Linked DNA regions of Pelodiscus sinensis. The protein of the gene in region 2 purifies or fractionates together with the protein of the main gene of each other region. This does not show direct contact. Links are inferred from orthologs where the notes say so. Each region holds a gene or a part of one and is shown on either strand. Other genes may lie near its edges.

Region 1 (15,773 bases), on a different chromosome or scaffold from region 2:
ACAAAATTTAGATAACTACATGGGGGAAGCATGGTCTGATGATAGAATGAAGACTGAGAGTCAGAAGCCCTCTACCCTTTTCTACCATATATTTACTCTGAGGGAGCTAGATGAAAGACACTATATTGTGAATGTAGAATATTATTACCCACATTTAGACAGCTGGACTGCAACCTTCTCAGTTTTTTTCCAAAGTGAACAAACATAACACTCCACAAATATATTGTAAGTGTAATAGAGATATTTCATTATTTAAACCCCCTATTTTCATGTCCCTTTAGTAATTGTGGTTCACTCTAGCAGAAACGAGAAAATCTGGAGCTCGGATTTCTCAGGACTTTGGAAGTAATTTTGCTGAAAATGCAGTGCTTAACAATTTTATGTAGCCATATACTCCCCCTTTCCTCCTTAGGACTTGAGGTTGCAAGCTGACTCCCATACACAAAATCCCTGAAGCTGCTTTCATTGAAATCAGTAGCAAAATTTCATTTAATTGAAGTCAATGGCAAACATACCATTTATTAAATACTGGGTACGTATGTTATACGTATCCACATATGCTGACAAATTAAGGTACTTTCTGAAACTGTTAGATACAGGATATGTGATGCTTGTATAAAGAGAGTATTTCAGTTTAGTAGGTGACAGTGATGCAGTTGTTCTTTGGGAATGTCACTGGAACTCAGAGGATAGGGGGAGGGAGGGAAGCAAGTGGAATTAACCATTTTCAGGATCAGGCCCTTAGCAAAGCCACTGCATTTTACCTTTAAATCATTCTTGATGTACAGTAAGGAAGAGTTTAACCTTAAACCTCTGTTTACAATTCACTTCCATTCCATATAAGCCATTTTAATTATACCAGAAGCTTCCATGATCTGTTTGAGGCAGTAGATAGCAGTTGAAGATTTTACAGCAAACCTAACTCTCTGGGAGTTACTTTAATAGCACCAAATCAACTGTCTTAAACTATGTTCCTATGATTATTTTTGGGAGGGGATGGTAGGTGCTCAACTTTTATTAAAACTAATCTGCTTTTTTCATATTCTGCAAGAATATTTTGTCTCTATTCCTGACTTGGTTTGTTTGTTTGTTTGGGTTTTTTTTACACATAAGTCCAAATGTTCAAAAGTATTCACAATTTGTTGTGAGCTGGATTTCGCAGAAGAGCTTGGCTCCTATTTAGACACTTAAAGTAGTCAGATTTTTCAAAAGTTCCCAAAACTCAGCAGCTCCTGTTTAGTACAGCCAGAGCTGTTGGGTGTTGATTACCTTTGAAAATCTACCCCTATGGTCTTGGGGGTTTTGAAGTTGTTCTTTGTATTAAAACCATCTAAACTGGCAAAATACTGAATATTCACAACTACTGTTTGTACATTATAAAATACCGACAATCTTGCATTACGCAACTTAATTTCCCCCTTTGCATATGGTATGTAATACATATAGTGTCCTGCAAATCCATAGTCGTATGATCCATGCACTTGCAAATACTAATGTATGCATACACCTATATATCTGTAAAATGCATTTCCAGGAAATGGGCATTAATGGGAAGTAGAAAGTAAGTCATGAACTATCTTGACATGGTCTATGAGCATAAATACATTTTAACCTTCTTCTCTGTTACCTTTCATGCATTTCCTTCTCCAAATTGAGCTGTTCCTCCAAAAACAACTAACATTATTGAATTTCAGCTAAAAAAAAGTTAATCCATTCTTGCTTTTGGGGTATTAACCAATATAGCAGAAGTGTATAAAATCTTATGAAAATGGATAAGCTTTCCACAATACTTGACGGTTGTTAATTGACAATTTTTCAGTTGTGCTTCTTTAAAACAAATGAAGCTTCGTGATGGGAATTTTCACTTTTGTCCTGACCAAGTCAGCCTACCACTTGAACTGTGGGGAGTGTAATCCACTGAGTACAGGCAGTCCCCGGGTTACATACAAGATAGGTACTGTAGGTTTGTTCTTAAGTTGAATCTGTATGTAAGTCAGAACTGGCGGTCAGTTTCAGCAGCGGCTGAATCTGGACGCCAGTTCCGACTTACATACATTCAGCCGCTGCTGAAACTGACCGCCAGTTCTGACTTACATACAGAATCAACTTAAGAACCCCAAGCGTCCCCAAGTCAGTTGAAATTGATCAGCAGCTGATTCCAGGAAGCCCGGGGCAGAGCAACTCTGCCTCGGGCTTCCTGTAGCCCCCCCCCTCACTGCCCGAGCCCCCCCCCCCCCCCCCTCCCGCGGCTCTGCAGACCAGGGAGACACAGAGAAAGCCCCAGAGTACACGGGCGGCAGGACCGCGAGGTCCCGCAGTCCGTGTACTCTGGGGCAGCCCCGTTCGTAACTGCGGATCCGACATAAGTCCGGGACTGCCTGTACCCTGTGGGAAGCTTAGGTTCCATGATCAAGAACCAATACAAGGTTCCCTTTCTTCTGTTAAATCTGCATAAGCCATGGAGATGCGTTTTTTTCCTTCCACATAGTGGAGTAGAGGAATTGAATGAACACAATGATCAGTATGTCAAGTTTTGGATTAATGGAATAAATTGCTTTATCTACGTTTCTAACCTCAACAGTTTTAGCTGTAGAAGTTGGAAGTGGGGGGACCTCATAGGAAAAACTTGGGAGAAGGAAAATGAAACTCATCCTTTTTGCCTTCATGAAGATCTAGTCTGTGTGTTTCAGGGAAAGCAGGTGAAAATAAGACCACTTGGTATCCCCTCTTTTAGATGACTTTGTAATCTTGAAGGAAAGTTTCAGGTTTAAGACTCCCATTTTCTGTTTGGTTACTCACTATTAAAGATAAGAATTTTTTTCAATGTGTTTAAATAATTTCCCTTTTAAGCATGTTGAACAGAAACATAACATATTCCTTATATTAAGGGTTATGTGATGTGTGTTTTTAAGGCTTCTTTGCATATATAATTTTCCTGGCAAGTACATGATTCCTTTTCACTAAATACCAAGGTTTGCTGGTCTTGGGACCACTAGACTTGTGAATACTGTGTGTGCATGTCTATAGGTGTATATATTTCTTTTCCAGCTAATACCTCAAACTTTGTGATAGTTTAATATTGTACCACTGTAAATTTGCACAGAACAGGGCTTCCATTAGGCATTACAACTATCCATCCAAATTTGAGGGTTCTGGTGTAACTAATCTTTAAATACTTTTTCCCCCAATATGTGGGTAAACATTCTCATTAGAGTCCGTTTTTAAAAGAAAATGATAGCCTTTTGCGCTTCCCAGAAATCTGAAATCTCACAAAGTAAAAGCATTTCTCAACTTAAACTGGGGAAGGTAGTTAGAAATGGCTTACATTTCAAATGACGTTTCTGAACTTGCTGCTGGCATTGGCTGTATGGTCAGTTGTGAAACTGACATTTGGAGAATGTAAAATCATGGAAAGCTTTAAAAATCTCAAGGAATTTAAATGTTTGTTCTTTAGACTTTTAAAAAGCAGTGCAATATGGGAAATGTGATTAGGCTTTGCAAATCATGTTCAATACACCTAATAATGTAATGGAAGCCTTGCAAAGGAAATCTGGTGAGATGAAGGTGGTATCTTAACAAAATTCTTATTTTGTTTTGTCTAACTCTATGGCATTTCCAAGATGTAAAGGTTAAGTTTAAAGAGACTTGCCTTATTTATAATATCTAATGTAATATTAGACATATCAAAATAAAATTATTTTCAGTGTGTAAATGTGCAAACATCTTATTATTTACATGTTAAAGAAAACTTTAACTATTCATTCTAGTTTTAAATTCAGAGGCTTGTGTTTTATTTATGCTCAGCTCATGTAGATACTGAACTAAGAATAGGCACATATTTGATCTTATAAGATAAATTATTTCTTTTTAAGACAAAGTTATCTAGCTACTAAAATATTTCATCTTAAATTCTTATGTATTTGGAAAATATTGCTGGTTTGTTTTATAAATTAAGACTTTTCTGCACAGCCATTAATTACCATAAGGAAAACTGCCTACTTTCAATAAACGTGTTTTCCTTTCCCCTGAAAAAAACAACTTTCAGTCATAAAGTGTATAGTATCATGAGCTTTTGTGGTCACAACCCACTTCTTCGGATGTCTGAAGAAGTGGGTTGTGTGCACAGAAGCTCATGATACTATATATATAATTTTTTAGTCTCCAAGGGTATGTCTACACTAGTTTTTTTTTCTAAAAAACTTCAATTACATCCACACTGCAATCGCGTTCTTTTGGGAAAAAAATCGAAAGAACTGAGAGGTTTTTCCGACATTGGTTAACCTCTTTCTACAAGGAAGAAACCTTTTTTCGAAAGAGCTCTTTCGGAAAAAAGCGTGTGGGGACAGGAAAGAGGGAGTTCTTTTGATTTTAATAGGGTCCATATTTTACCCCTAATCCTGCTCATTAGTTATGCATTTGTTACACAGGGACCTGGGTCGTCAGCATCTGGGACCTTAGTGTCTAAAGCCATGTGCCTCTACAGCTTGAGCTAAAACCCAACTCTCTCTCAGCTAAGGCTGTAGAGCAGCCTTCATTCTCATTTGTCCGTTGTTCTCAGTGCTTCTGGGTTACATGTATGTCTGAGTTTAACGTTAAAAATGGCATATGATTTATTATGGTTCTACATGTATCCTTTCTTTATAAGTAACAATGTTCCTCTTCAAATTAGAAAAATAAATAAGTAGCACAAGCACATATGTACCCCTCATCCCTTACAATTTTATATTAGATCCCAACCTGGATTTAATATACTGTATGTCTACAGTTTATATAATTAAGACACATAAGCTACTTTATTTAAAAATGAGTGAACAGCAGTGATAATGAAAATGAGCTACTCAGAAAAGTGGTGTACAAATAGAGTTCGCTATTTTGGGGAGATTTTTTTTAAAAAAAAAAATCTTCCTGGGAACGATCATGTAAACAGCAAAAGTCTGAACTTATCAGAAATGACAGGCTCAAACAAACTCCATTTGGATATTCTGTTCTTGAGTACTAAAAGAAGAAAATGACTTAAATCTTGCTGAGAAATTCATAAACTGATAGTAAACTTCCACTCTTGTCCTGATAATCAGATAAAAATTAAGTAAACTGCATCATGCATTAGGTTTCGGTAGGTCCTTCATTCTGTGATTTTTTGCACCATTACAAAAGTTACAGGGAAAAAGGATGCACTCTGAAAAATATCACCATCTTCCTCCCCAAGATTCATCTGATGAAGTGGGTTTTATTCAGGAAAGTTCATGAGCCTATGTATTTTTGAGTGGTCCCCAACCTTTTGGGGCTGCCAGGCACCTGGGGGTGGGGCCATTCACATACCGGGCACCCAAGCCGCCCAAACGCTGCACTACCGGGGCCGGCGCTGCTCCTGTGCCATGTGCCCAGGGGCAGACATGCCCAGGAGTCGGCAGCACCCATGCGCCGCGCACCTGGGGCCGGCACCACTCCTGTGCCGCGTGCCCAGGGGCAGGGACGCCCATACACTGTGTGCCCGGGGCCAGCACAGCCTATGCACTGTGCGTCTGGGGGCGGAGCCGCCCATGTGCTTCGCGCCCGGGGCTGGCACTGCCCTTTTGCCATGTGTCCGGGGGCGGGGCCAGCCCCAATCACTTATTGGGCACACTGTGCTGGGGAGCACTGCGTTGGAAACCACTGCTCTAAGCCCTGGTCTACACTAAGGAGTTACTTTGAAATAACTCCCCATATTTCAAAATAATAAGCGGAGCGTCCACATTACCAAGCCTATTATTTCAAAATAACAAGCTGGGTATTTTGAAATCTGTACTCCTACTTTCCATACGGAGAATACTTATTTTGAAATATTTCAAAATAACTAACTACTCCCCAGAGTAATTTGAAGTAAGTATTTCCCAGTACTTCCTAGGGCTCTAAGACGAGGTAGCGTATCTACAACAATGGAGCCTGCCTCGGATTAATTTTGAGGCTCCTGTGTGGTCGGGGACATGCTATTTTGATTGTTATTTTTGGAGTTACTTTTAATTATTTTGAAATTTCCTACTGTGGACATTAGGGATGTTAAGTTGTGATTAATTAGCTAAATGAGTAGTCAATGGAATTTCCAATGCCTACTCCATTAGTCAATAATGAGGGGGGCGCTTGCTACCCCTGCTGCAATTCTGCATTTTAAATGCAGTGAGCTCTTACTATATTTAAAATGCAGAGCCGTAGCAGTCCCAGGGCTGGCATGAGCCAAGACTGCTTAGTCCTGGCTCGTGCTGGTAGGGTTGCCAGGTGTCTGGTATTCACCTGGACAGTCTTGTATTTTCTCCTCCTGCCTGGTAAAAAAAAAAATTCAGACTATTAGACACCTGAGATGTCTAGTATTCTCTGAATTTTTCCCTGGCCAGGAGGCAAAAATGCTGGGCACATGGCAATCTTACAAACACTCAGTGCCTGGCCTCCCACTCCCTCGCATCCCCCCAGCTCCCAACACCCCTAGCCCCTCTGACTTCAGCCCCCATGCTTACCTGGTTCCCCAAGGCTGCTGGCACAAAATAGCTACTGGCCAAAAGACCTAAGGGAAGCAATCTTCCCCTTGGGTCTTAGTGCTCAACCACTTCCCTGTTCCTATCCATGCACTCACCCTTAAAGGGGACATGCTGTTTTTGGGCTTAAGTCCTTGGAGTCTTTTTTTGGGGGGGTTGGGGGAGCCAGCAGCTTTGGTTTCCCCTCACTTTCCCCTCTCTTCTCCCCCCCCACAGAATTTTTTCCTGGTGGGTTTTTTGGGGGGGGGGAGGAGGGTTGGTATTTTTGTTTCAATCATCTTGCAACCCTATGTGCTGGCCCCGGAAGCTACCCCTGGTGTGGCTCTGCAAGTTCTTACTACAAAGGCAGAGCCCGTAGCAGGGGTAGCTTCGGTGTGAGCCAGAACTAAGCACACTCTTCCCTACCCTTATGCAGCACCGAGACTCAGCTTTTAGGCATGTTCCTCACAGCACCAAGGGAAGAAGCAGAGTCATCTTGATTACCCACAAACACAGGTCATGTAATCTTTGTCACTGGAGATATTTAAGGGTGGGTTGAATACACATCTATCAGAGCCTGGCTAGACTAGGGTTTCCCAACCTGTGGTCGGGACCCAAATATGGGTCACCAAGTCTTCCTCACTTGTGGAAATGGATCCCCATCTGGAAAAGGTTGGGAACCGCTGGCCTAGAGACGATGCTGGGCCCTGAGGCAGGGGCCTGGACACTCTCCAGCCAGGTCCCTTCCAGTCCTAATGGTCTCTGGTTCCAGCCCTAGCAGACAGGCCCCCCGCACTGCCCCGCCCCCTTAGCAAGATCCCTGCAGCACCAGCACCGCCGGCTTTGCGATGCCTGACAACCAGGGCTGGGCGTAGCTACGGAGCATGCTCAACAGCGCGAGCTCCGCAACAGGGTGCGCGCGCGCCTCTGGACGCCTCCAGGGCCCGGCCGCGGCTCAACGAAGTGCAGTCACATGATCGCCTCCGCACCCTCTGCGTTGGGGCGGAAGCGGGCAAAGACGCCGCCGTGGTTGCGCGCTCCCACTCGCGTTGCCCTGTCACGGCTCTCACGGTCGGGCATGCTCCGTAGCTACACGGGAGACCGAGCTGACGCTACAGCCGGAAGTGACGCCGGCAGGGGTGGGTGGGGCGGGAGGTCTGTGATTGTTTCGTGCGTGGGGCATCACGTGATCGAGGGCTAAAGGAGAAGCGGCCGCTCGCTGCCTGGGCTGTTGTTGCGGGGGATCCCGGAAGCGACCAGGGTAAGGGAGCAGGGGGGCTGTAGCTAGTGTTATTGTAGGGCCTACTGTATTGATTCCTCCCTCTATGCGGTGCGGGGAGTCGAGCTATAGGGGCCCGGTCGGGCCCGCCTCCCCCCAGCGCCGCCACAGCCCACGGCGCGGCCCCTTTCTCGCTAGCCCCCCCCTCGCCGTGCGGGAACGCCCGGGCTTGAGCGTCTCCCGGCCCCCCGTAGGGTCAGGTAACCCTGGCCCAGCCTGACCGGTGTCTGTCCCGTCTGTGCTAGAAACCTGCAGGGAGGGGACCTTCCAGCCTGCTCTGGAAACCTGGCCCGGGTCTCCGCTGCCCCGTAGCCAGGCTGCCTTCGGCCCGTTACTGCTTCTGCTGCTCTTAGAGGATACAGACAACGATTGATCTCAGTCCCTCTAGCAACCCTTTTCTACCAGCCCCCACCCTCTTTTTCTGTCAACAGCCCCAAGCTCCTTGTGTGTTTTTTTTTTTTTAAATCTTTCCTCATAGAACAGATTTTCCTCACCTGTCCCTCCTTTTTTCCTCATGTAAGATTGTCAGTGCTTTTGCGGAAATACTATGCTGCTCCCGTTCAGGCAAAAGTCTTTTTCCAAACAACTTTTGCGCAAAAGGGCCAGTGTAGACAGCAGAGATTTATTTTCCGCAAAAAAGCCCCGATCGTGAAAATGGCGATCGGGGCTTTTTTGAGGAAAAGCATGTCTAGATTGGCAAGACGCTTTTCCGCGAAAGCACTTTTTGCGGAAAAGCGCCCGTGGCCAATCTAGATACGCTTCTCCGAAAATGCTTTTAACAGAAAATTTTTCCGTTAAAAGCGTTTCCGGAAAATCATGCCAGTGTAGACGTAGCCAGAGAGAATATCAAGAAATAATGTATACTTACCTTAACCTCACACTCATTTCCCCCCCCCCCTTTTTTTTTTAGCGCCCAATCCCTGAAGCTAGATTTGCACTACAAACCTACATTGGCATAAAAATGTAGCTCAGGGGTATGAAAAATCCACATCCCTATGCCATGCAGTTGTCCTCTTAGCATATGCACATCATGCTTCAGGTGGCATGTGACCAGGATTAATCACCAGATTTGGTCTATTGGTTGGCACATTCACTAACCTGGCTTGGTTCAAATACTGAAGGGGATTCTGATCCTTAACCCCCATCCCACGTGATGCAGTTATAACAACCTAACTCTTGGTGCTGTCTGATAGTGCTGTCTGAGAGCTTCTCCTGTGAACATAGCTACTGCTTTTTATGGAAGTGGATTAACTTTGTGGACTGGAGAAGCTCTCCTGTCAGCATAGTAGGACCTTAACCTAAAATACTACATCTGGACAGTTGTGCCATTGTAGCTTTTTAAATGTAGACTTGCCCTGAGACTCTATCTTATTTATGCAGCTTTTGATCCATGATTGCCCCTGGGACTACTTTTGAGGAAGGCCCTCTGGAGAAGGGCTTGTGTGCATCTTGTAAGACATTTTCTTTTAAGAGCAGTTCAATGCCCAGAACTCGCTCTCTTGGGCAGGTGCCTTGGGCATTATATTCTTCACGTTGGCAGAGGAAGGAAAGCTAGGGAATGCTAGAAATTAATAGGGATGTTGCTCCCTCCTTAATTTTATGTGAGACTAAACAAAAAAAGAGAAAGAGAGCAGATAAAAGCTTATGTGCATGACTATTGTTGGCTCTTATTTTTCAGGAACTTTGACAGTACATCTGATTTATTTAAAAAGTTTCAAAACATGGCCGATGTAAGTATTTTGCAAATATGCTACCTGCCCTAAAAAGCTTACTTTACAGACCCATCCTATATGCTGATCCATATGGGCGTGCCTTTATGAAGCCTCACTCAGTGCAGTGGAACTGACTTATGGCAGTAAAGCTATGCGTGAGTTATGGGGTTGCCAGATGGTTTAACCAAAAATACTGACGACCATCCCCCTCCCCCCCCCCCCCCCCAAAAAAAAACAGAGGAAAAAATTCTGTTGGTGGGGAAAAAAGGGGGGCGGCAGGGGAGACCAAAGTTGTTGAGCAAAAAAAGGGGGGGGGCCCTGAGAGTTAAGCGCAAAAAAACAAAAAAACCCTGCATGGTCCCTTTAAGAACAGGGGCTGGGCTCTGCCTCTCTTAACAGGCTGCAGGTATAGCAGCAGAGTGAGGGCCACAGCAACAGCAGCTTTTGCTGAGTATGCTCAGTTGCATAACACATGCTCAGTACGCCCTAGGTATGACTTTCTGAGAGGCAGCTGTTTGCGACGCTACTTCGGCCATCTTCTCTGCCTTTTCTCCCTGCTTTGGACCAGACAGCTTCCCTGCAGAATGAGGTATTCGGTGGGGGAAGCAGGCAGGCTGGGCCTGGTTGCTTAGGGTTGCCAGGTGTCCCTTATTTTCGCCCCCTGGCCGGGAAAAAAATCAGAAAATACCTGACATTTTAGGTGTCTGGTATCTTCTGAATTTTTTTACCAGACAGGAGGCGAAAATACCTGATTGTCTGGGTCAATACTGGACACCTAGAAACCCTAATGAGCTAAAGTATTTGTAGGACTAAGTCCTTAGACATCTATAAACACTTTGAAAGGAAAATAGGCCTTCACTGTCTGAGAATGACGTTTCAAAAGCTTCAGGGGGTAGCCTACTTAGTCTGTACAGGATAAACTTAAACAACAAATAATTTGTTAGTCTTTAAAGTGCTACCAGAAAATGTAGATGGTATCATGAGATTTCTTGGGCACAATCCACTTCTTCAGATGACCAGAGTGTTGGATGTCCAGAACTAAATGACATGATTATGCAAAAGGAGGGAGAATCTGCTCTTTGGTCAGTAACATGTGAAATAATTATAGCTGGAAGATGCTAAAACAAAGTTCAGATGTGCTGGGACATGCATTTGTTTCAGCAAATGTATTCAGATGTTCAAAACGCTATGTAGTTAGTGTGTTAGCATGAAAGGTTATATTTAAAACACTTCGGGAGAAGTGTGAAATGCAATAGTGTGCTTGCTGCCATTTCACTTAAATGTACTTTGGTTGGTTAACAAACTATGTACATTCTCAGAGCTTCTGAAATGATTAACAGAATTAAATGAATAAGTAATATAAGTTCTATATATATGCAAATTCTGGAACACTGGCTATTTTTATATAAAAGTACCAAAGAAGGTGTTTGGGGGTTTTGGTTAGATTATAATTAAAAAATGTGTCTCAGTACAGTTTTTAAAAAATACTTGGTGGTAGGAAGAAACAGAAAGTTTTAAAAAATGACATGAATAGTTTCTATTGTGATAAAATTGAGACTGTTTTATACATATTTTGAAAATAAAACATATTTCATAACTTTGTTTTTTTCTTTATAGGACCTGAAAAGGTTTCTGTACAAAAAATTACCAAGGTAACCTAATTATCATGCTACAGTATTCACTTTGTACTGTGTGCTGTTTTACAATTAATGTATGATAACATTTATTTGGATTTTAATGGACTTCAGTGAAAGTAATCCAACAGATTGTCCATACTGTCTGGATATTTTTTTTAAATGATATATTTAAATTTATAGGTTCCTATTGTCCAGGGGTGGGCAATAATTTTTGGCAGGGGGCCATTTCAAGATTTTGGAAAGTGGTCAAGGGCCACACTTTTCTGTGGAGGGGTGCAAGGTCTAGGATGAAGATTGGGCACAGGCGGGCGCATGGGGTAAGGGACATGGGTGCAGGAGACAGTGTGAGGTCTGAGAGGAAGTTTGGGCAAAGGAGGAGGTTGTGACCTGGGTCAGGGAATAGGGCTCTTGGGTCAGTGAGGTGGTTTGGGTGCAAGAGAGGATTCTGGCCTAGGACAGAGGCACTAGGAGAGAACGCAAAGTCTGGGAAAGAGCTGTGACCTGGGAGAAGAGGATACACACTACAGATGGTGTAGGTGGTGACTTGGGGCAGGGGATTGGGGTGCAGGATCTGGGAGGCTGTATGGGTGCAGGAGAGGATTCTGGCCTGGGGGAGGGGTGAAGCAGGGTGGGGTACAGGCTCTGGGAGGCAGTTATGGCCTGGGGCAGGGGGGTGCAGTGTGTTTGGATGGTGACCTGAGGGAGGGAGTTGGGGTGCAGGACGGGCAGGGTGCCAGAGGCAGGCTCTGCCTGGGAGGTGCTTTTTTAAGCCTTCAGCACTCCCAAGGCAGGCTGGACTCCCTGCCTGCTGAAGCCCCAAATCACTTACAACTGCAGGCTGCAAACCCCACATGTGTCTCAGCTCCAGGATAGGGAAGAAATTTGCGCTGCTCCCATCTGCCAGGTCAATCTCTCAGATCTTATTGGCTAGTTGTTTCTGGCCACTAGGAGCTGAGAGATTGGCTGGGGTCAGTTCCTATTGACCAGTAATTTCTGGTCAATCGGAGCTGAAGATTGGGCTGGGGGTGAGGAGATTGCAGGAAGCCTCCCCCTCCCTGCAGAGTAGAGAGATGCATGGAGTGAACTTGAAGCTGTGTGCCTGAGGGTCCCGGCAGGGGCAGTCCGCAGCCGGATCCAGTGGCTTGCAAGGCCAGATTCAGCCCCCTGGCTGTATTTTGCCCAGTCCTGCTATAGTCTGAACAATGTTTATCTGGCTGCAAAAATCTATCCTTTGTTAACCCATCTTCTAATAAGACACTTATCTTGAAACTTAGTACATTGTATTTTTGAGTGAATTAAAAGTCAGTTTAAAAAAAACCTATCCATCTCTCCATTCCAAAAGAAGGACAATATTCTTCATTTTAAGGGAATAGTGTTTTAAAAAGGCTCTTGTTACTGGAATAACTCCTGTATTCAAGCAACACGTCCTACTGTCTTTCTGGAGACTTGGCAATTCTTGGTAGTTTCCAGTTTCTCAGTACCGTAAGTAGCTAGGCTAGGTCAGTCATTAGCACCATTAAATCATTGTGCTCTGGAACTGCGTGCAAATACCGTGAAAACTGCACTTCCTGGAATAGCAGTTCCTTTTCTGAAGCTGCAGGACCTCCAGACCTTCCAATATCATTCTGCTTGAACTTCTAATAACTGTCTGCCTTTGGTCCCTTGGGTGATCACATAACAAAAAGCTAGTTTAATGGTGGGCGCTTTTTGCACATCTCTCCTTGCTACTTCCCACTTTGGTATGTGTTTGCTGAATAAAAATGAACTGTGCTGCTAGCATGTCAGCTTGGTAAAAACAACACTTTGTTTTCTCTAGTGTTGAAGGTCTTCATGCTATTTTAGTGTCAGACCGAGATGGTGTGCCTGTTATCAAAGGTAAATCATAAGTCTGATTGTACATCTTCTGTATAATAATAGACATTTTTAATTGAAAGACAAAAACTGGCTTCCTAATAGAGACAGGACTCTCTTCCTCCTGTCTTTAGTTTACTGTAAATATTAGAGGTTGATCTAAGCATTAAGTCAAACATGCTGAAATTTGGGATGTTTTAACAAGGATTTATTGGACACTAAGTTATCTCTCTTGAGAGCATTCTCTATCTAGGTATATGCAGCGTGTTTAAAACCATAGTCTGTAGGCACGTCATGTCATATCCTCTGTGAAGAGAGTTGGAATCATGTAATGCGTTCATACCATAAAGCTGCACTCATATTAGTAGACAATGCCAGGATTGCTTTAGCAGTAGTTTCATCCTAAGACTGATATGACCAAATGCTACCCACTGATAAATGCAGCCATTTGCTGTTGACTTAATTCTGAACGTGTTTGTGTTGGGGGCTATGCTATCCTTACCTTACTTTTGATCAGTAACATGAGATGTCTTGTGCTATGGGCACAATGGCGGAAGTTAAGAATCCAAAGATTCAAGTTTCTGTAGATGGTTTTTGGGTCCCATCTCATTTACGGACGCTCAATAGGAGTTTCATATATAAGTGAACCTGAAGGCAGACCTATGACATGAACATGATCTGGGTGAAATGGACTGGGTCTTGCATGCTCCTGGAAGTGAGACAATCAAACACAACAGCATCAGCACAGATCATGGTGCAGCAAACCAGTGTATAGAAAATAAACGATCCTCAGGACATTAGGAAAGCTGGCTGGTGAAGTGGTGATGAAGCTATACAGAGTTATAAAGAGCTATACATGCATCTTCCAAAGCACATCAGATGAGATTCATTTTTGAGGGAAAGTGGGAAGCAGGTAAGAGCAGTTTTATATGGATGACATCTGATCTAGTTTACTGTTGCCTGATCCATATGTACAAAGATCTTCTACCAATGTAAAATATGTTTTGTTCCAGTTGCCAATGATAATGCTCCAGAGCATGCACTTAGACCTGGTTTCTTGTCCACTTTTGCACTTGCGACAGACCAGGGCAGCAAACTAGGGCTTTCAAAAAACAAAAGTATCATCTGTTACTACAACACATACCAGGTAAGAGATTTCAATGTTGTCTTGATCTATCTATTGGCCAGAATTATTCCTACCTGACTTAAAAAACAAACAAACAAACCCAACTCTCTATCCTGACTTTTCAAAGAGGTTTGATTAAATTTAAATATGTATTTTTTTTCCTAAAATACAAGAATAGCTTGTTATACTGATTTGTTTGTAATATGGATCGAAAGAAGCTTTTATTTCCTAGCATGAGTAAATGAGTTACTGGTTCAGGGCAGTACTTGAAGATCACTGTGTTCTCCAGCAGATGGTGCCTGTTGCAAATCCCTAATATCTACATGTCCTTGTTCTAAATTTGTATTTGTTGCTGGCAATTCAAAAATAATTCTTTTGGGGGAAAATGTTCGTGTTTTATATACATACGATCAGGAATAGTGTCTGGGCAAGGAAATTTACAAAACAGTTCAGTTTATAAAATTGATATTTTAACCTTATGTCTACTGAAATTCATCATCTTTCAACAATTTCACACTCCTGAGTTCTCTGTGGACTGATTAGCAGAATTTACAGAAAGGTGCTAATTCAAACAAATGAAAAAAAGCTTGTTCAAACTTGCCATGCTCAGCTTTGTTTGATGGAAACTATGTAAAAAAGGAGCTGTTTGACCCTGAATGCGTTGGCTTGACATTCTTTTGACACTATTAACTTATGCTCAGTAGTTCTCATTTCTTCAGGGCAATATCTCCTTCCTGGAATATTTTTTTAAATTGTGTATTAAGAGAAAGGAAATAACACGTACAGTATGCTACAGTTTTTAAATTGGCTCAGTTTCACAAAGTGTAATGAAAGATTTTTTTTAATTGTATCCTTTGGTATATATGGTTGTGACTATTTTCTTCCACTATTTGATCTGAGGAAGTAGGTCTGGCCCACGAAAGCTCATCATCTAATAAACTATCTTGTTAGCCTTTAAAGTGCTACATTGTCCTGCATTTTGCTTCAACAAAGTGTAAGATACTGCATAGCTCTGTGTGCCACAAAATGGGATTGCTATCTCTCTGCTAGCACCTTTTAGTGCTGAATCTTTAATACCTATTCCCAGTTGTTATTCCTATTCAGAATTTAAATTGATGGGACCAGTTGCATAAATAAGGGCTGCAGGGTTGGTTAGGGAATGAGTGTAGCAGGTTTTACATTGTTGTTCTGACAAGTCATCTATTGATTTGTTTTGTTTTGTTTTGTTTTTGAGGATCCTTTGTTTGTTTTTTAAGGTGGTCCAGTTCAATCGGTTACCTTTGGTAGTAAGTTTCATTGCTAGCAGCAATGCCAATACCGGTACGTTTTCATTTCCTAAGCTGCAATGATATTTTAAATGACTAGAGTGAGATTTTTTTTTCAATAAGACTTAAAATAATGTATTTAGAAAAATGAAAGGCTGAATTCAGTGTTCATTACAAAATTTGAATATTGTCTTGTCACCAGCAACCAGTATGGAACCTTTATAAAAGGTATTGAGGCTGATGGGGAGGGGTGGGGGGGGGGGAATATTTTCAGTACAATTTTCAAAACTTCCTAAATCCCAAAGGAGGCTAATATTTGAAACTTTTGAAAACAGGGCTTTGGGTACTTTCTTAAAAGTAATTAATTTTTACCCATATTCAAATTAATGCATTACCTTAAACAGGATATGAACCTCAC
Region 2 (16,019 bases):
AAATCAGTGCTTCTTGCGGAAGTACTATGCTGCTCCCGTTCAGGCAGAAGTCCTTTTGTGCAAAAGCTTTTGCGCAAAAGGGAGGGCCAGTGTAGACAGTTCAGATTTGTTTTGCGCAAAAGCACGTCTAGATTGGCACAGACGCTTTTCTGAAAAAAGTGCTTTTGCGGAAAAGCGTCTGTGCCAATCTAGACGCTCTTTTCCGCAAATGCTTTTAACGGAAAACTTTTCCATTAAAAGCATTTGTGGAAAATCATGCCAGTCTAGACATAGCCAGGGATTCCAAGGGAAAAAGCTTCAGGGAATCACTGACCTAATGAAAAAGCCTTTGATAAGATATAGGACAGCTGTGAAATGCCAGAGAAATCCTATTTAGGGCTTTTCACCCAAGAATTTCAAAGCATATTACAAATCAATTTTGTTAGCTATATCTACACTAGTGACTTTACAGCTATAAGATCTTCTGTGTAGTTATTAGGGATATTAAAAAGCAGAGGAGAGGGGTTATAAACATGAAACTGCTGAAAATTTCAATAGTTACACATTTACATCAAGTCCAGTTCCCTGCTCTCATAGTTGTTCATTGCTGACAGAGCAAGCTCTCCCATCAGCATAATTAAATTCCCTCCCACAAGTGGTAGTAACTATGTCCACAGGAGAGCATCTGCTGACATAATGCTGTCCACACTGGTGCTTCTCTTAGTGCAACTTATGACAGTCAGGGGTGTAGTTTTTTCCCCTCCCACACAGCTGAGCAACATAAGTTGTACTGACAAAAATGCTAGTGTAGATATAGCCTAAGTTTAGCTGTCAAGAAGCTAGCAATTTATAGAAAGCATGCTACATTGTGAATGTCTCACTTCAGGAAGAGTACTTGGTGAGATAACTGGCTGACAATTGTGAGTGATATGTGAACTTGTGGTAAGAGATGGATGCTGTTGATCAAAAACCTGTGGGTTGTCTGAGAATTCAAAAGGGTTTTATTGTAAACTGTGCACATGATGCTTATGTGAATTATATGCTACAGAAATACCTGGGAAAGTTTATAATCTAAAGTGTCCTAGGACTGCCTTTCAAAATGGACGGGTAATATTTGTTAAATATTTGAAGTTAATTTCCTAAACCTCACAATGCCACGGGTGAGTTCCAAAAAGCTTTAATCAGTTCAACTGTGCTACAAAGCTATTACTCCATGTCTACAGCTGGAAAAAGTTTGGGCTTCAGTAGTATGTGTAAGATCACTGCTATAGGGAACAGATCTTTGTACTGGTTGATGCTTAGCACTCTTTTGTGTGTTATTGCAGGCTATGTCTACACTATGGGGGTTTTCTGAGATACAGGAGGTATCCTGGAAACACTCCCCTGCATCCAGGGAACACGTCTGTTCTTCCGCTTTTTTTGTGGAAAAGCAGACACTCTTTTGGAAGCCCTGTCTTCCTCCTTCCACGAGGAAGAAGTGCTCTTCCGAAAGAGGAAGAAGGGCTCTTCCGAAAGAGGAAGAAGGGCTCTTCCGAAAGAGGAGACTTTTCCGAAATCTGGCCCAGTGTAGACAGGCCAAATTTCTGAAGAGTCTTCTGAAAAAACTACTGAGGAAAGGTAGGCAAATTGCGCTTCACAATTTGCGTACCTTTTTCCGATAAATCACCGTAGTGTAGACAGCCAAAGTGTTTCTTTATTTTATGTAAAGATGCCCGGTTGAGATTCGGTGTAGTGGACAGGGGAAGAGGTAGAGTTTGAACCCCATATCCGGCACCCTGTAACTTGAGTGCGTGACTCATGACTTTTGTACCCTAGGAAGTTTCAATCTGTAATGAAAACAAATCATACAGTAAACACAAACCTTTGAGGCCATCTTGAGGAATCCTAAATCAGAAGAAAAGGTAAAGTCTTTTTCTCCTAGCTTTGGATCAACATGGCTTTCAAGTTAATATGTAATCAAGGTGAAATGGTTGGTAGTCTGCAACTACAGTTAGCTGGAGATAGTTTTCTTTAGGTCCTATCTGCACTGGTCTAAAAACAAATACTAGAAACAGTATTTATGTATGTTTTAACACTCATTAACTAAATGGAGGTGATACGTAGAAGCCATAAAAAGGCTGGAGTAATTGTCTCCTGCCCCCAACAAACCAAGCCTGAAGGAAGGACCCTAGAGTGCAGGAGCTCTGACCTAGATGGTACCAGCAGGTGGAACACTAGCTGAAAGGTGTCGCTCCAGGGTTGAAGAACCAATTCCCAAATTGACCAGCAGGAGGTGATATGGGAGTAAGTGCCCACCCTGTGACAGATACAAAACTGTTAGAACAGACATCTAACCTGGGTAATACAACCACACAACAGAACAGATAGACTTAATGGTCCTACTCTTCCTGAAGACTTGTAACAACAAAATTCCATTAACACTCAGTTATTTCTGCAGGAATTCTGTGCCACTGTGCAGCATAGAAATGTTAGGTGCACATAATTTCCTACTTTCCCCCACAGAAATGGTCTGCAAAGCTATTGAACACCATTAGGGGCCACAGTATCCAGGAGAGCCCAGCTCCCAAATAGAAGACAAGACTAGGGGGAGGATCTTGGAGGACTTCCCAACAGGTGCAGTTCCCAGCACACCCTGAAGGAAGGAGTAGTGCACAGGAAATTCCATGGAGACATAAGACTCAGCTGCTCCCTCTGGATCCCTGGGAAATATGGGACATGGGTGTGTGAACTGAGGGAAGGAGCACCTGAGCTCTGGGGGTGTTAGTAACTCATTTGGGAGGGCAGCAGCTGGGGAAGGGAGGAGTGAGAGCATATTGGCAAGGGGGGGTCCCAGCAGTTGAGCTCTGGGGACAAGGGAGTGTCTCTGGGCCATGGGAGGTGAGGTGAGGGCTGAACATGGGAACGAATGTGTGTGAGTGTGGGCCAGGGGGGAGGTAGGTTGAGGGAGTATGAGTGTCTGGGCTTGAGGAAGGAGGCAGAAAAGTAGTGGGGTTAGGGGCAGGATTGTTTCTATCTCTAAGGGAATTTCTGTGAGTATCTGTATTGTTACAGACTTACTTACTGACAGATATTTTGAAATAAAACTCTAAATAATTGAAACTGGAGTGATTATGCAGTGTTATTTTGACACAAAAAAATTGTAAAATTTTAAAATGTGTACAGAATTTAAAAATTTTGGTACATAATTCCCCTGGGAGTAAGAGGCGTCCATTGTTACAAAAGCTCTTGAAACTGTGCATATTATGTTAAACAGTTTTCTAAGATTCCCTAATGTAAAAAGGCCCATTATGGTTTGTCCAGTCTTTATGAACAAAGCTAAACTATGTCAGAACTACATTTTAAACATATTTAAGGCATGTCTTTTTAACACACTTCAAATATGACTTGTGAGATTTGGTTTGGTGGGTTGGCTTTTAACAATTTAGCTACTGTACTTAAACTAGTTTCCTAAATTCTGTTCTTTGACCAGTTTTGAATTTGGCTGGAAACCAACCACAGATGGCCCAGTCTGCTTAAACATAACTCCTATTAAGAGATTTCATAGCATTTTTATAATGAAATAAACTTGTAGTTTTTTAATGTTAATGGCAGTAGTCAGATGAAATTGGTACAATCTACTCAAAAGAAACTGAAGTATTGACAAATTATGATGCATCATTCCTAACTAAACCATTTCCAGGCCATCTCACTGATCACAGAACATAATATATACTGGATTAGTGAAAGAAAATACTACATAAAAAGGGTGTAGACGAGGTATGTTGGATATCGGGGAATTGAATAGTTGAACAACCGCATGAATTCTTATTGGTTACTCGACTATTCTATAGTCCCCAGAGGTGGGGCCAGCAGCCAGTGCGCCTACTCCCAGGGAGCCCCCTTCCACCCTGAGCTGCTGCATTTGTATCAGAGGCAGCAGCAAAGGGTGCCAGGCAGGAGCCAGTCTGCGAGGGAAGCAAGTTTAAAAATAAGCTCCCCACACAGACCTGTTACCCCACACTGCTGCCCCTATCTGTGGGGGTCCAAGTTCCCTGCAGACATAGACTACTGTGGGAGGGAGGAAAAGGGGCAGCAGCAGCCTCACCCTTGCTGCCTCTGTATCAAAGGCAGCAAGGGGGAGGGAAGCAGGAGCTGGCTTAAAAGCCAGTTCCCCCCAGCACCAGCTCCATAGTGCTGCCTCCCCCCCATCAGCATAGAGAGATATGGGAGGTTGCTGCAAAGCAGCTTCTGTCTGTGATGGGCCAGAGTTCCTTGTGGACAGAAGCTGCTCCACCTCCCAGGGAGCTGCTTTTGTCTACTGCGAGCCTGGGTCTCCCGTGGACAGGGGCTGCTGCTGGAGACCAACTTCCATGCACGGTGGGCCTAGGCTCACTGCAGACAGAGGCTGCTCCATGAGAGATGGAGTAGTTTCTGTCCAAGGAGAGCTCAGGAGGCAGCAGCACTGCGGAGCCGAGCTGGTGCTGAGGGGAACCAGCTTTTAAGCCAGCTCCTGTTTCCCTCCCTCTTGCTGACTTTGATACAGAGGCAGCAAGAGCGGGGGTTGGGGGGGGGGGGGGGGGAGAAGAGGCATGTAATCAACAAGATTACCCAGTAAGTAAGCCTAGACTTATTGGTTAAATGTATAGTCGACTACAAGTTGAAATCCCTAATGCAGACTCCAAGGAAGTGTATCTGAAACAAATCAATAAATGTGGCAGTAGTCAGCCAATGTATCTTAGCCTAAAATAGAATGATTTGAATGTGTAACTTACCTAACCTTTTTAAAAACTCAAGATTCTGCAAATATTACTGGACACCATCTGAAAAGATTTTTTACAAACTACATTCAATTAAAAAAAAAATTCTTCTCCACAGACCAACTCACAACTCGTACTACCTTCCTTAGGGTGAAGGGAAATAGCAGAATAGGCAACATCTGGATGATAAGACTGATTTAAACTCATCAATGTGTGTTCTGTTCTAGGGTCTGAATGAGACAGAGCCAGGAAATGCACTAGCCACTTCGTGGACCCTCAAGTCTTTTAATCTCTCCAATGCAGCTTTTACATTAGATGTAGAAGATATCAATCACTTAATTCTAGATATATAGCTATCATAGCTAGCTTAAATTTTATTATGATGTGATAGAGCACAATCACATTCATTTTCATTACAACAGTACATACAATCTCTACAACTTTGTGTAAAAAAGCACTATGTGTAAAACAGGGCAGCCCTGTTAACAGAGATATGTATCATATGCTGTAAGTCACACAGTTCAGAGCATTGCAAGACTTTATGGCTATCACAATACATGCTGTACTGTTCATCAATGCAGATAAATAATAAGCTCTATGTCACTGTTATATATATATACACACACACCACAAAATAACAAAAACTTAACTCTCCACAACTTTGTGGCTATAGCCTAGTTCAGTCCAGTTTAAAGTAGTTTCATGCTGACCACTGCTTCATTTAAAGATACTTCGTTTCCAAGCTTTGTGCTCCAGCTGTCATTTCCATGTGATACAAGATCTGTTACCTACAATTCTAAGATAGTCACTGCGACTATTAAACGTGGCTGTCACTTTAATCGCAGCCGCCAATGAAAAGCAATAAAGATCTACGGTGAAATGCTAGCCCCTCTGAACTCAATGGCAAAACTCCCCTGCATAGCAGTGGGGCTCGGATTTTACCTTTCCTCTGCATATGGAAACAGCTACCTGCCACGCTACGCTCCTCTCCTCATAACTCTTTCCCCTGGCCTCCGAGGGAGGATTTTGCCAGCACCCTGCAGCCAGCGCCCAAAGCAGGGTCTACGGGCTGGGGGCAGCGATAACAGGCTGTCTGTGTCTGGGTAGCTGTGCTGGCCCGAGGCAGGAGCCCCCCACACAGGGCTCCCCGCGAACGGCAGCGCCGGGCCCAGCACGCATCAATGCGAGAGCTCTACCTTCAGCAGCCGGGACCTGCGCTCCACCACAGCTCCCTCGCGCCCGCCCGGCCGGCCGAAGTCCAGAGCCCGGCGTTTCCGAAGCGCAAACAGGAAGGGCGGGGCGGGTGCCGGGGAGCGCGGCTGGAGCCCAAAGGGCGCGCGGACTCGGAAGTTTTCACTGGAAGAGTCTCTCAGGCGAGCGAAGGGAACGCTTGCTTCCGGCGGACTACAACTCCCAGAGAGCCTTGCGCTAGGCTCTTCCCGGGCCCTCTTCTAGGGGAGGGCAAATAGCAGGATTGAGCGACTACCTACATCTCCTAGAAAAAAAACCACACTAAAAACAATGAAGTGGGCTGTGCCCACGAAAGCTCATGATACCATCTACATGTTGTGTTAGTCTCTAAGGTGCTATCAGACTGTTCCTTGCTTCTGTATGGTTTTTTCAGTTGCAGACGGACACTAATGCAAACCCCTCTGAAACTACATCTCCCAGAGTGCCTTGGGCGGAGAGCCCCGTCCCCTCCGCGCACTGAGCGCCCAGGCGGGCGTCCACTTGTCGCTGGGCTGCCTCACTCAGTGCTCTGGAAGGGAGCTAGGGGGCTAGTGGGGCTGGAAGGTGCCGGCAGCAGAGGTCCGCGCCCTGCCCCGCCCCACACACAGACTGGCAGCGATGGGGGACAGGAAGCAAGGCAGCTGCAGTTGTTTTGTGCCTCTCCGTCCACTCTGCATTGGCTCAGTTGAGAGAAGAGGTGGGACCTTGAGCGGAGAGGGGTTGTCCTAGCCCAGGCATGTCCAAAGTCTGGCCCGCGGGCCAATTGCAGCCTGTGTTCCGGTTTAATACGCCCCCCCAGGTAATTTGGCAATATCTATCTTTTATGGCCCCCAACGAATCCATATGTATTGAGATGAATACATTGTAAAATCTCAGTTAATGTCAGTTGGTCTAAATCAGTTATAAATATATTTGGACACAACATGTATAGTTGGTGTTATGTTCCTGTTCATATTTTTTGAACTTAAAAGTTGACAGACAACCTTTATTACCAATAATATGTAATGTACTTTACAATGTTCCTGACATATATTTCAGCTTCCTGGAATTTTTTTTCATCTGGCCTTCAGATATGAAAGGCAGAGTGATTTAACACCTGTTTAGATTTGTCATCCATGTGATGAAATGAAAAGTATGCCGTTTGCAATAAACTTTGCATAAAATAGTTAATTTGTATTTAGTTTTAATGGTTCAAAGAATGTCAGGCAAAATGGTCGGCCCTCACGCATGTTCACTTCATCAAATCTGGCCCTCTTTGAAAAAAGTTTGGACACCCCAGTCCTAGCCCTTCCCCAGGTGGGTGGGTTATGTGGCCTGGGCGCCCTGAGTTCACCCTCTGTAGGCAAGAGACAGAAACTGAAAACCAGGAGATCAAGACCGACATGGTGGCATAAAAGATATTGTACTGTGCACTGCGTAGTCTGTGTTGTAACTGAAATCAGTATATTTGAACATGTAGAAAAATATCCAAAAATAATTAATACATTTCAATTGATTCTGTTTCTAAAAGTGTAACTAAAATTGCAATTATGATTAATTGAGTTAATTGCATGGGTCAAATGGTCTTAATTGACACAGTGCTAGATTACATTCAGTTTTAAGCTTTTAGAATATTTATCGATTTTTGCAGCTCAGTGTTTAAAAGTTTTACATTTAAATTTTTATAGTTGTTGGAAAATATGGATAGGTTGGGCAATAAGTATATAAGAACAGAAGATGCTAAGATTTAAAAAATTAAAGTTGTATAACTATTAAAACACAAACTCAAGATCACATTGGATGGTTACAAAAGAATTTCAAAACCCAATTACAAAGGGAGACAGCTGAATGAGTTCATTTGCAAAGTCAGTACAATATAGGACGGAATAAGGATTTAATTGGTTAACACACTATAAAGGCAGTTTCCCCTGTTAATAGTCACATCTCTACACCAAATGCCATGAATGAGCAACTTCCACTCTAACTTGATTAGCCTAATGAACACAATATATACACCCCTACCTGTGTGACTTCCACTTCAGTTCATCTGATAAAATAGGTTTTACCCATGAAAGCTTGTGCCCTAATAAATCTGTTCATCTCTAAGGTGCCACATGTCTTCTTGCTGATTTTGCAGATACACAATTAACACAGCTATGCCACTGAGACTTTTTTAACATAGACAGGATTTAACCATCTTATTGTAACAAGTTTGGTGTCTTTAATATTTCAACATTACACTACATCAGTGGTTCCTAATCTTTTAGATACAGGGACAGCAAACCCAGTCACAAACTTTTGGCGGACCAACAACATTTTATTTGCATATTCATTATACAAATGATGAACATGCGACTGTGCAAATAAAATGTTACCGGTCTGCCAAAAGCCCAGTCCCCAGAGCCCCCAGTGCCAACCCTATCCCTTAGAGCAGGGTTTCCCAAACTTTATATAGTTGGAACCCGTTTTTTTCTGTACCTTTTTTTGCGGCCCAAAAATATAAACGCATATTAAAAAAAAAGAAAGAAAAATGAATAAATTTTCACAGTTTATTATTTATTCACAATAATAATAGTACATAATATAAATCTTGATATAAAATACTTAAGTGACTAACTTATTGTTATTACCTTAATTACAATTTAACCAGTAGAATTTTAACAATTGTAAAATAGTGATAGAAATGTAGCCGTGTTAGTCTGGTGTAGCTGAAGCAAAATACAGGACTATGTAGCACTTTAAAGACTAACAAGATGGTTTATTAGATGATGAGCTTTCGGGGGCCAGACCCACTTCCTCAGATCAAATAGTGGAAGAATTATCACCTCTAATATCATTAGCTCACAGACATTTACCTCTCTCCCCCCCTCCCCCGCATCCCCCTTCTGTTCTAAAATTTGATTTGTCCTTTTCACATGTGTTCTTTTTTTTAATTGTATCCTTTGGTATATATAGTTGTGACTATTTTCTTCCACTATTTGATCTGAGGAAGTGGGTCTGGCCCACGAAAGCTCATCATCTAATAAACCATCTTGTTAGTCTTTAAAGTGCTACATAGTCCTGTGTTTTGCTTCAACAATTGTAAAGTTTGTTTATTTATAATTTAATGAATTGAATATAAGTCATTTATTATGTGTACACTTTATAGCTTTTAAATAACTCAAAAGAGAACTAATTGAAAGGGTGATGTTGTTTTGCATCACATAGCAACTTTTTGTCAGGAGCAAAAGAAGAAAGTTTTATCCTCAAATCTGGTTCAACATTCAATCTACTTCTGTATTTATTTTTGAAGAAAACCAAAGACGAGAAACTAGTTTCACACTTACATGTTGTGATGAAAGGCATTAAGAATTTGATTGCTTTCTCAGATAAATGTGAATATTCATTTCTACAACTCAAACCAAAAATCAATCAAGGAGGCTGCGTCTAGATTGGCATGATTTTCCGGAAATGCTTTTAACGGAAAAGATTTCCGTTAAAAGCATTTTCGGAACAGAGCATCTAGATTGGCATGGACGCTTTTCCGCAAAAGCACTTTTTGCGGAAAAGCGTCTGTGCCAATCTAGACGTGCTTTTCCTCAAAAAATCCCCGATTGCCATTTTCACGATTGGGGCTTTTTTGCGGAAAACAAATCTGAGCTGTTTACACTGGCCCTTTTGCGCAAAAGCTTTGCGCAAAAGGGACTTTTGCCCGAATGGGAGCAAAATAGTATTTCCGCAAGAAGCACTGATTTCTTACAGTAGGAAGTCAGTGTTTTTGCGGAAATTCAAGCAGCCAGTGTAGACAGCTGGCAAGTTTTTCTGGAAAAGTGGCTAATTTTCCGGAAAAACTGGCCTGTCTAGACACAGCTGGAGAGTTTAACAAAGATCTCTTTTAAGGCAGAGACACAGGAAAGTTCAATTAATGGATCCACTTCTGATGCATTCAATTGTAATATTTCTTCATTTTTGGTGTCAACAGTAAACAGGTTCTTAATCCACATTTTACTGGTGTCAATTGGAGGAAAATATTCATTTAAGCTTGATGGTAGCCCCAAGAGATGTTCTTTGATTGTTACAGAAATCACATCTGAGATATTAGTTTCAGGATATTATTCTTGTAATTCAGTTAAAGTACAAAAAGATTTAAAGTTTCTCTTGCTAACTCCCTATGTCCATAAACAAAAAATTTTTAATTGTTGCCTCAATTTTTTTGTGAACTTTGAAAATATTAATTTTAGTGCCTTGTAAATTCAGACTTAACTTATTTGAAAGACAAAATCTGTCACATAAATAAGCCACCATTGTTAATCAATCAAATTCATGAAACCTGTGTTTAAATTTAAATATAGCATCTTTTGCTGATGGAGAGTGTTGCTCCAAGAACAATAAAACTTCATCCTTCATTTCAAAGAGTCATTTCAAAATGTTTCCTTTCGATAGCCATCGAACCTCACAGTGTAATATGAGATGCTCATGTTAACTTCCTAATTGTTTGCACAAAGCAGTAAAGATTCTGGAATTCAAAGGTCAAGATTTTATATAATTTATAAGCTTCACACATTCTTGAAGAGCTGAACTCAAAAGAGATGGCATAGTTTTCACAGATAGTGCCTCTCTGTGAATACTACAATACACTCATGCACAGTCTGGCGCTACAGCTCGAATCCACGGGACAAGCCCAGTGCAAGACCCTGCCATTGCTTGAGTCCCATCACTGCTCAGTCTAACCAGGGCCGGACGGAGGCATGGGCAAGCCAGGCAGCTGCCTAGGGCGCCAACCCACGGGGGGCGCCTCATGGCAGCTATAAGAGGTGCACAGCATCCCGTGCAGCTGCCATCAGGAGCCACGCGCCCGGCTCCCGCAGCGTCGGACAGCAGTGCCCTTGCCCCTACGGCTGCGGGGCTATGCACGGCCCGGCGCGTGTGCTAGCAGTGCTGCCCTGGGCCGGGATGGGCAGCATATGTGCTGTGCACCCCAGAAGCGGGCCTGCGCATCCTGGAGGGGGGGCGGGCCCGCGCCCCACAGGCAGGCCTGTGCATGCGCCCTGCGCCCGGGGGAAGCACCACACGCCTGGGCCCAGGGTGCCAAAAAGGGCTCAGGCCAGCACTGAGTCCAAAATATTTTTTCCAGTCAATATCGCTTTGAATAATAAAATAATCGATTAACTTAAAAATTTTGTCAGCCATTGTTCTTGTTGGAAGTGGCTTACAAAATAAGAGATCTTCTTGAATGGAGATTTCGTAATCATATCTAACAAAACACATCAAATTTGCAGCCTCTGCTATATCAGCGCTTTCATCTAATTGTAATGCAAAGAACTGACTATTCTGTATTCGACGTACAAGAGTTTCATCAGTATTTTTTGCCATCTCTTCAATTTTACGTTTCACTGTATTGTTGGATAAAGACAGCGAACCCAACTGATTTCCTTTTTTTCCTCCATAAATACGAGATGTAATAATATACAATTCAGGAAGTATTAACTTTTCGTCAACAGTATGTGGATAACCTGTCTTGGCTATTAGTTTTGAAACTTCATATGAAGCCAACAAAGTTTTCATTTGAAGAGCACATAGAAAGTGCACTTTTCATGCTTTTTTTAGCAGAATATAATTCATTTTTCTTATTTATGAAAAAATCTATGGGCTTACTTGTGTGTATTCTGGATGTTTGCATTCCAAATGGCATTTCAGTTTTGATGGTTTCATGCACTCATTGGATAGTTCTGCGTGACAGATTATACATAATGGCAAATGATTATCACTACCAAAACTTATAAAACCAAATTTCAAATACTTGTCGGAAAACTTGTGGGTCCAAAAAGTTTTTCTCCTCTTATCCTCACTTGTATTAGGCTGCACATCATTTGAACATTTGTTAGTTGTATGTCCAGTCACATTCTTCAGCCATTTATCCATATTGAAGATGAAAACAAGAGTGTATTTAACTGAAAATAAACGAAGAAAACTTAAGCAGTTAACCTAAAAAGATGTATACATTGTCGCACCACGCAGAAACAAACCGAGACTGCTGTGTCACGTGACACAAAAACCGATGACACAGACTAAGCCGCATGAAAACGTGTGCGCATCACACGGGAAAATACTAAATGTACCAAATTAATAGGATTGTGCGTGATAATTTGTATATTTTCTAAGGACCGATATTTTGTTTCCAAAGACCAGTATTGGGTCTATATTCAGGATCACACTTTGGGAAACGCTGCACTACATCATTAAGTAGGTTGCAGGTTTTTTTGTTTGGTTGGTTTTTTTTGGTAAGGTAACAACAAGGGAAAAGTGTTGAATAGGATTTCCAGGCTGATCCAATTCATTTCAAACCTCAGCTGAACGTAGCACCACAAGAAAACTGTTTCTTTTTCAGTGACTATTACTACTTTAACTTTTGGTGGTACAAAAGAAAAAGAGAAGTTGATTGAGCAATCAGTTCTTGCAAACTCAGTGTTGTGGTTTAGAAAAGATGTGGGGGAGAGGGCGCAGGAGTTATTCTAAAGTTTGTGAAAGGATCAAAGTTGCAGATGCCAAAAATGATTCACATGCAAAAAACAAAAATGGAGAACAAAGTTTTCTCTTGATCACATATAAATTATAAGAACATAAGAATGGCCATACTGGGTCAGACCAAAGAAAGGGGCTTTTTACTTTTAACTTCTGGAACAAAAGTAAAGATATGCTGAAATTTCCACCTTGCCCTACCAGTGTTCCTTCTAAGATTTTCCATCCACAAGCGGAGAGAGTTTTGTCTTGTGCATCAACAATGAGGTCATGTGCGCTTGTTCAGATGTGTGGCACTCACCAGTGGCGCTGCTCTCCAAGAGACTCTGACAGTGGCCAATGCCAGATTCCCCAGAGGAAGTAAGCACAAAAGTTAATCATCATGTGATCCCTCTCCTGTCATCCATTTCCAAACAAACAAAGGCTAGAGACACCATTTCTACTGATCCTGGATAATAGGTATTGATGGACCTAATCTCCATGAATTTATCTAGATCTTTTTTGTACCTTATTAAAGTCCTAGTCTTCACAACATCCTCTGGCAAGGAGTTATATCTCAATTATTATGAAATCAGGTAATTTGAAATTGCAATTCAGCATTTATAAAACTTTCAGTGTCTTTTCCATTTACAATTTGTTTTTTCCTAGATTATGCCAATTTTCAGTATTTTAGTAATATGTTATTTAGGGAAAAGCAATTTTTGGGAGGTAAAGGGGACCATGCTTCTTAGTTCACAACTGTTCAAGTCACCATCCTGGCATGAAGAAGAAGTTTTCACCAGGTGCAGTAATGATAGTTCTTCGAGATGTGTGTCCCTGTGGGTGCTCTACTGAGGTCTCAGTGCATCCTCGCACCACTGATCGGAGATTTTTAGTTAGCAGTGCCTCTTGCACCACGCCTGCGCACCTAGTGTCTCTCTCCTTCCCCCCGCTGTTTGTGGCGTGCGCATGTGGTGCAAGTCCCATCTGTTCCTTTTCTACCTGAAGTCCATGGAGACTCCAAGCAGAGGGGAGGACGAGAGGGTAGTGGAGCCCCACAGGGACACACATCTTGAAGAAGCATCGTTACTACACCTGGTGAGTAACTTCTTCTTCTTCAGTGAGTGGTGTCCCTGTGGGTGCTCCACTCAGGTGACTCCATAGCAGTATCTGCCTGATGGAGGTGGGCACTGGCATCTTTTTAGTTGAAGAAGGAAGGACCATATCTGCTAGAGATGTGAAGGGTATTGGCCCCTTCTGTAGGACATAGTGCTGTGTGAAAGAATGTTGTGAGGACCATGTGGCTGCCCTATAAATGTCCACCAATGGTGCATTGGTCAGGAAGGCCGTTGTAGTGGCCATCGCACGTGTACAGTGAGCCCTGATGGACTGTGGTGGCTGTTTGCCCCTAAGTTCATAAACGGTACATATGTAGCCTTGAATAGGCACTGTGCCAAAACTGCTGTTCCTGTGCGTGGTCCTGACCATGCCACAAAGAGTCTGTCCGATTTCCTGGTTGCCCTAGCTCTATCAACATAGAATGAAATTGTCCTCCCTGCATCCAGAGTATGTAATATAGCCTCCTTGGGGAGGCAGGAGGTTTGGGGAAATAGGCAGGTAAGTAAATGGGTTCATTTATGTGGAAGTCAGATATAACCTTAGGGAGGAACTTGGGGTGAGGTCTGAGTATGACTTTATCCCTGGTAAAGGTAGTGAAAGGTGGGTCTGCCATGAGGGCCATGATTTCTCCTTCCCTTCTTACTGATGTTATTGCAACTATGAATGTCACTTTCATGGAAGGTATTGTGGGGGTGTAGTGGCTAGTGGCTCAAAGGATGGACTAGTAAGAGTGTCAAGGACCAAATTGAAGTCCCACAGTGGTACCAGGGGGCGTAGGTTTTGCTGCATTTTCTGTTAACCTGTGAGAAAACGCTGCACCATGGGATGTGCGAAGAGGGAGAAGCCATTTACCAGGTCATGGAAAGCTGTATTTGCCACCAGGTAGATGGTGGAAAGGCTGATGGAGAGGCCTTTGTCGCTAAGGTCCATTAGGTAGTCGACTAAGGTGCGTATACAGATTTTAGTGGGATGCAAGTTGCGCATTGAGCACCATTGTTGAAAATATGTCCATCTGTTCTGATAGATGCTTCTTGTGGCAGGATGCCGACTATTTAGTAGGACTTGTTGGACTCTGTCCGAGCAGGTGAGTTCTTCATTTTGGTACCATGAAGAAGCCATGCCATAAGTTTCAGAGTTTTGTTGTTGAGGTGGCATGTGCTGCGTAAGGAGGTTTGGCACCATTGGGAGAGGGATGGGTTGATGTATCAACAGGTAGTGGAGGTAAGGGAACCAGGATTGTCTCGGCCAGGCAGGGGCTATTAGGATTACTGTGGCCCAATCAAACCGAATCTGGTTAATCACTCTGGGGATAAGAGGAACTGGTGAAAAATGCAGAGTAGGGGAGCTGTCCAGCGAATGGGGAGGGCGTCCCCTTGTACCTCTTGCCCAGTCCTGCCCAGGAGAAGAATCTGTGGCATTTGTGGTTATGAGGTGTTGCAAAGAGGTCTATAGTCAGAAAGCCCCATTTGCGGAAGATTGAGAGGACGATATTGGTATTGATCTTCCACTCGTGCTGATCTGAGAAATGTCTGCTCAGTTTGTCGGCTCTCACATTCTGTTGTCCCGGTATATGCATGGCTGTTGGAGTTATCTGGTTCCTAATACACCAGTTCCAAAATCTGATTGCTTCGGCACATAGAGAGTGGGATCGGGCATTCCCCTGTTGATTGACATAAAACATAGAAGGTGTGTTCTCCATGAGGACATGGATATTCTGCCCATTTCCAGTGGAAGGAAAGGGCGCAAGCCCTGCAAATGGCCCTGAGCTCCAGGATGTTGATGTGGAGGTGTCTCTCGTGTTGGGCCCATGTATCCTGTATTGATGCCACACCACAATGGGCTCCTCAGCCCATGAGTGATGCATCTGTCATTATGGTGACTGAGGGGTCTGGCCAGTGAAAGGGTATGCTGGCAAGCAGATTGACTGGAGATGTCCACCACTCTAGAGACTGCAGTACTGGTGGAGGAAGTGTGAGATGCCTCGTGAGGCTGTGTCGGGTTTGTATATAGTTGATTGCGAGCCAATATTGAAGGCATCTCATGTGTAGCCTTGCAAATAGGACTACAAACTTGTGGCAGCCTGTGATGGAGGGGGATAGAGCCTGTCTTCCACCGGAGGCCGTTCAGCACCCTGGTCAGCAGTGTGGATCGTGGAGAGGGCCTCCAAGCAGGGCACAAGGGCAGCCGGCCCTGCAGCCAATCAGGGTTCGGCAGCCTGGTATATAAGGAGCTGTTGAGTAAAGGTCAGTTAGTTCCTTCCTGGAACTCAACCTGGCCAGAACTCTGGGCTGCAGGGCCAGCTTCAGGAAGTGTGGAGCCCAATTCGAACAATTTCGATGGGGGCCCCACAGCAATTTTGGTTGAGCAAAGAAAAAAAAAACAGCACACAAAAAATCCCCCGCCAATACCCCCCCTCCCGTGGCACAGGAACACCTTGCGCTAACTCACAGGCAGCCTACGCACTCCTCCTCTGGGGCTGACACCCCCACCCGCAGCGTG

What was found.
Region 1: the proteins of SLC38A9 (region 2) and LAMTOR3 purify together in Homo sapiens (affinity purification with mass spectrometry; 3 studies listed by BioGRID and IntAct, with this or other methods). This does not show direct contact. The link is inferred for Pelodiscus sinensis from reciprocal best matches to the Homo sapiens genes SLC38A9 and LAMTOR3.

What each region holds. Positions count from the first base shown.
Region 1 is NC_134715.1:23,350,921-23,366,693, reverse strand, and holds the start of LAMTOR3 (ragulator complex protein LAMTOR3), read left to right. Parts: upstream 1-7,472; 5' UTR 7,473-7,746; intron 7,747-9,442; 5' UTR 9,443-9,485; coding exon 9,486-9,494; intron 9,495-11,093; coding exon 11,094-11,128; intron 11,129-12,929; coding exon 12,930-12,988; intron 12,989-13,977; coding exon 13,978-14,111; intron 14,112-15,293; exon of another isoform or gene 15,294-15,346; coding exon 15,347-15,410; exon of another isoform or gene 15,411-15,773. UniProt on the Homo sapiens protein: As part of the Ragulator complex it is involved in amino acid sensing and activation of mTORC1, a signaling complex promoting cell growth in response to growth factors, energy levels, and amino acids.
Region 2 is NC_134716.1:96,826,668-96,842,686, reverse strand, and holds the start of SLC38A9 (neutral amino acid transporter 9), read right to left. Parts: upstream 6,110-16,019; 5' UTR 5,912-6,109; intron 5,893-5,911; exon of another isoform or gene 5,658-5,892; intron 2,956-5,657; exon of another isoform or gene 2,168-2,955; intron 1-2,167.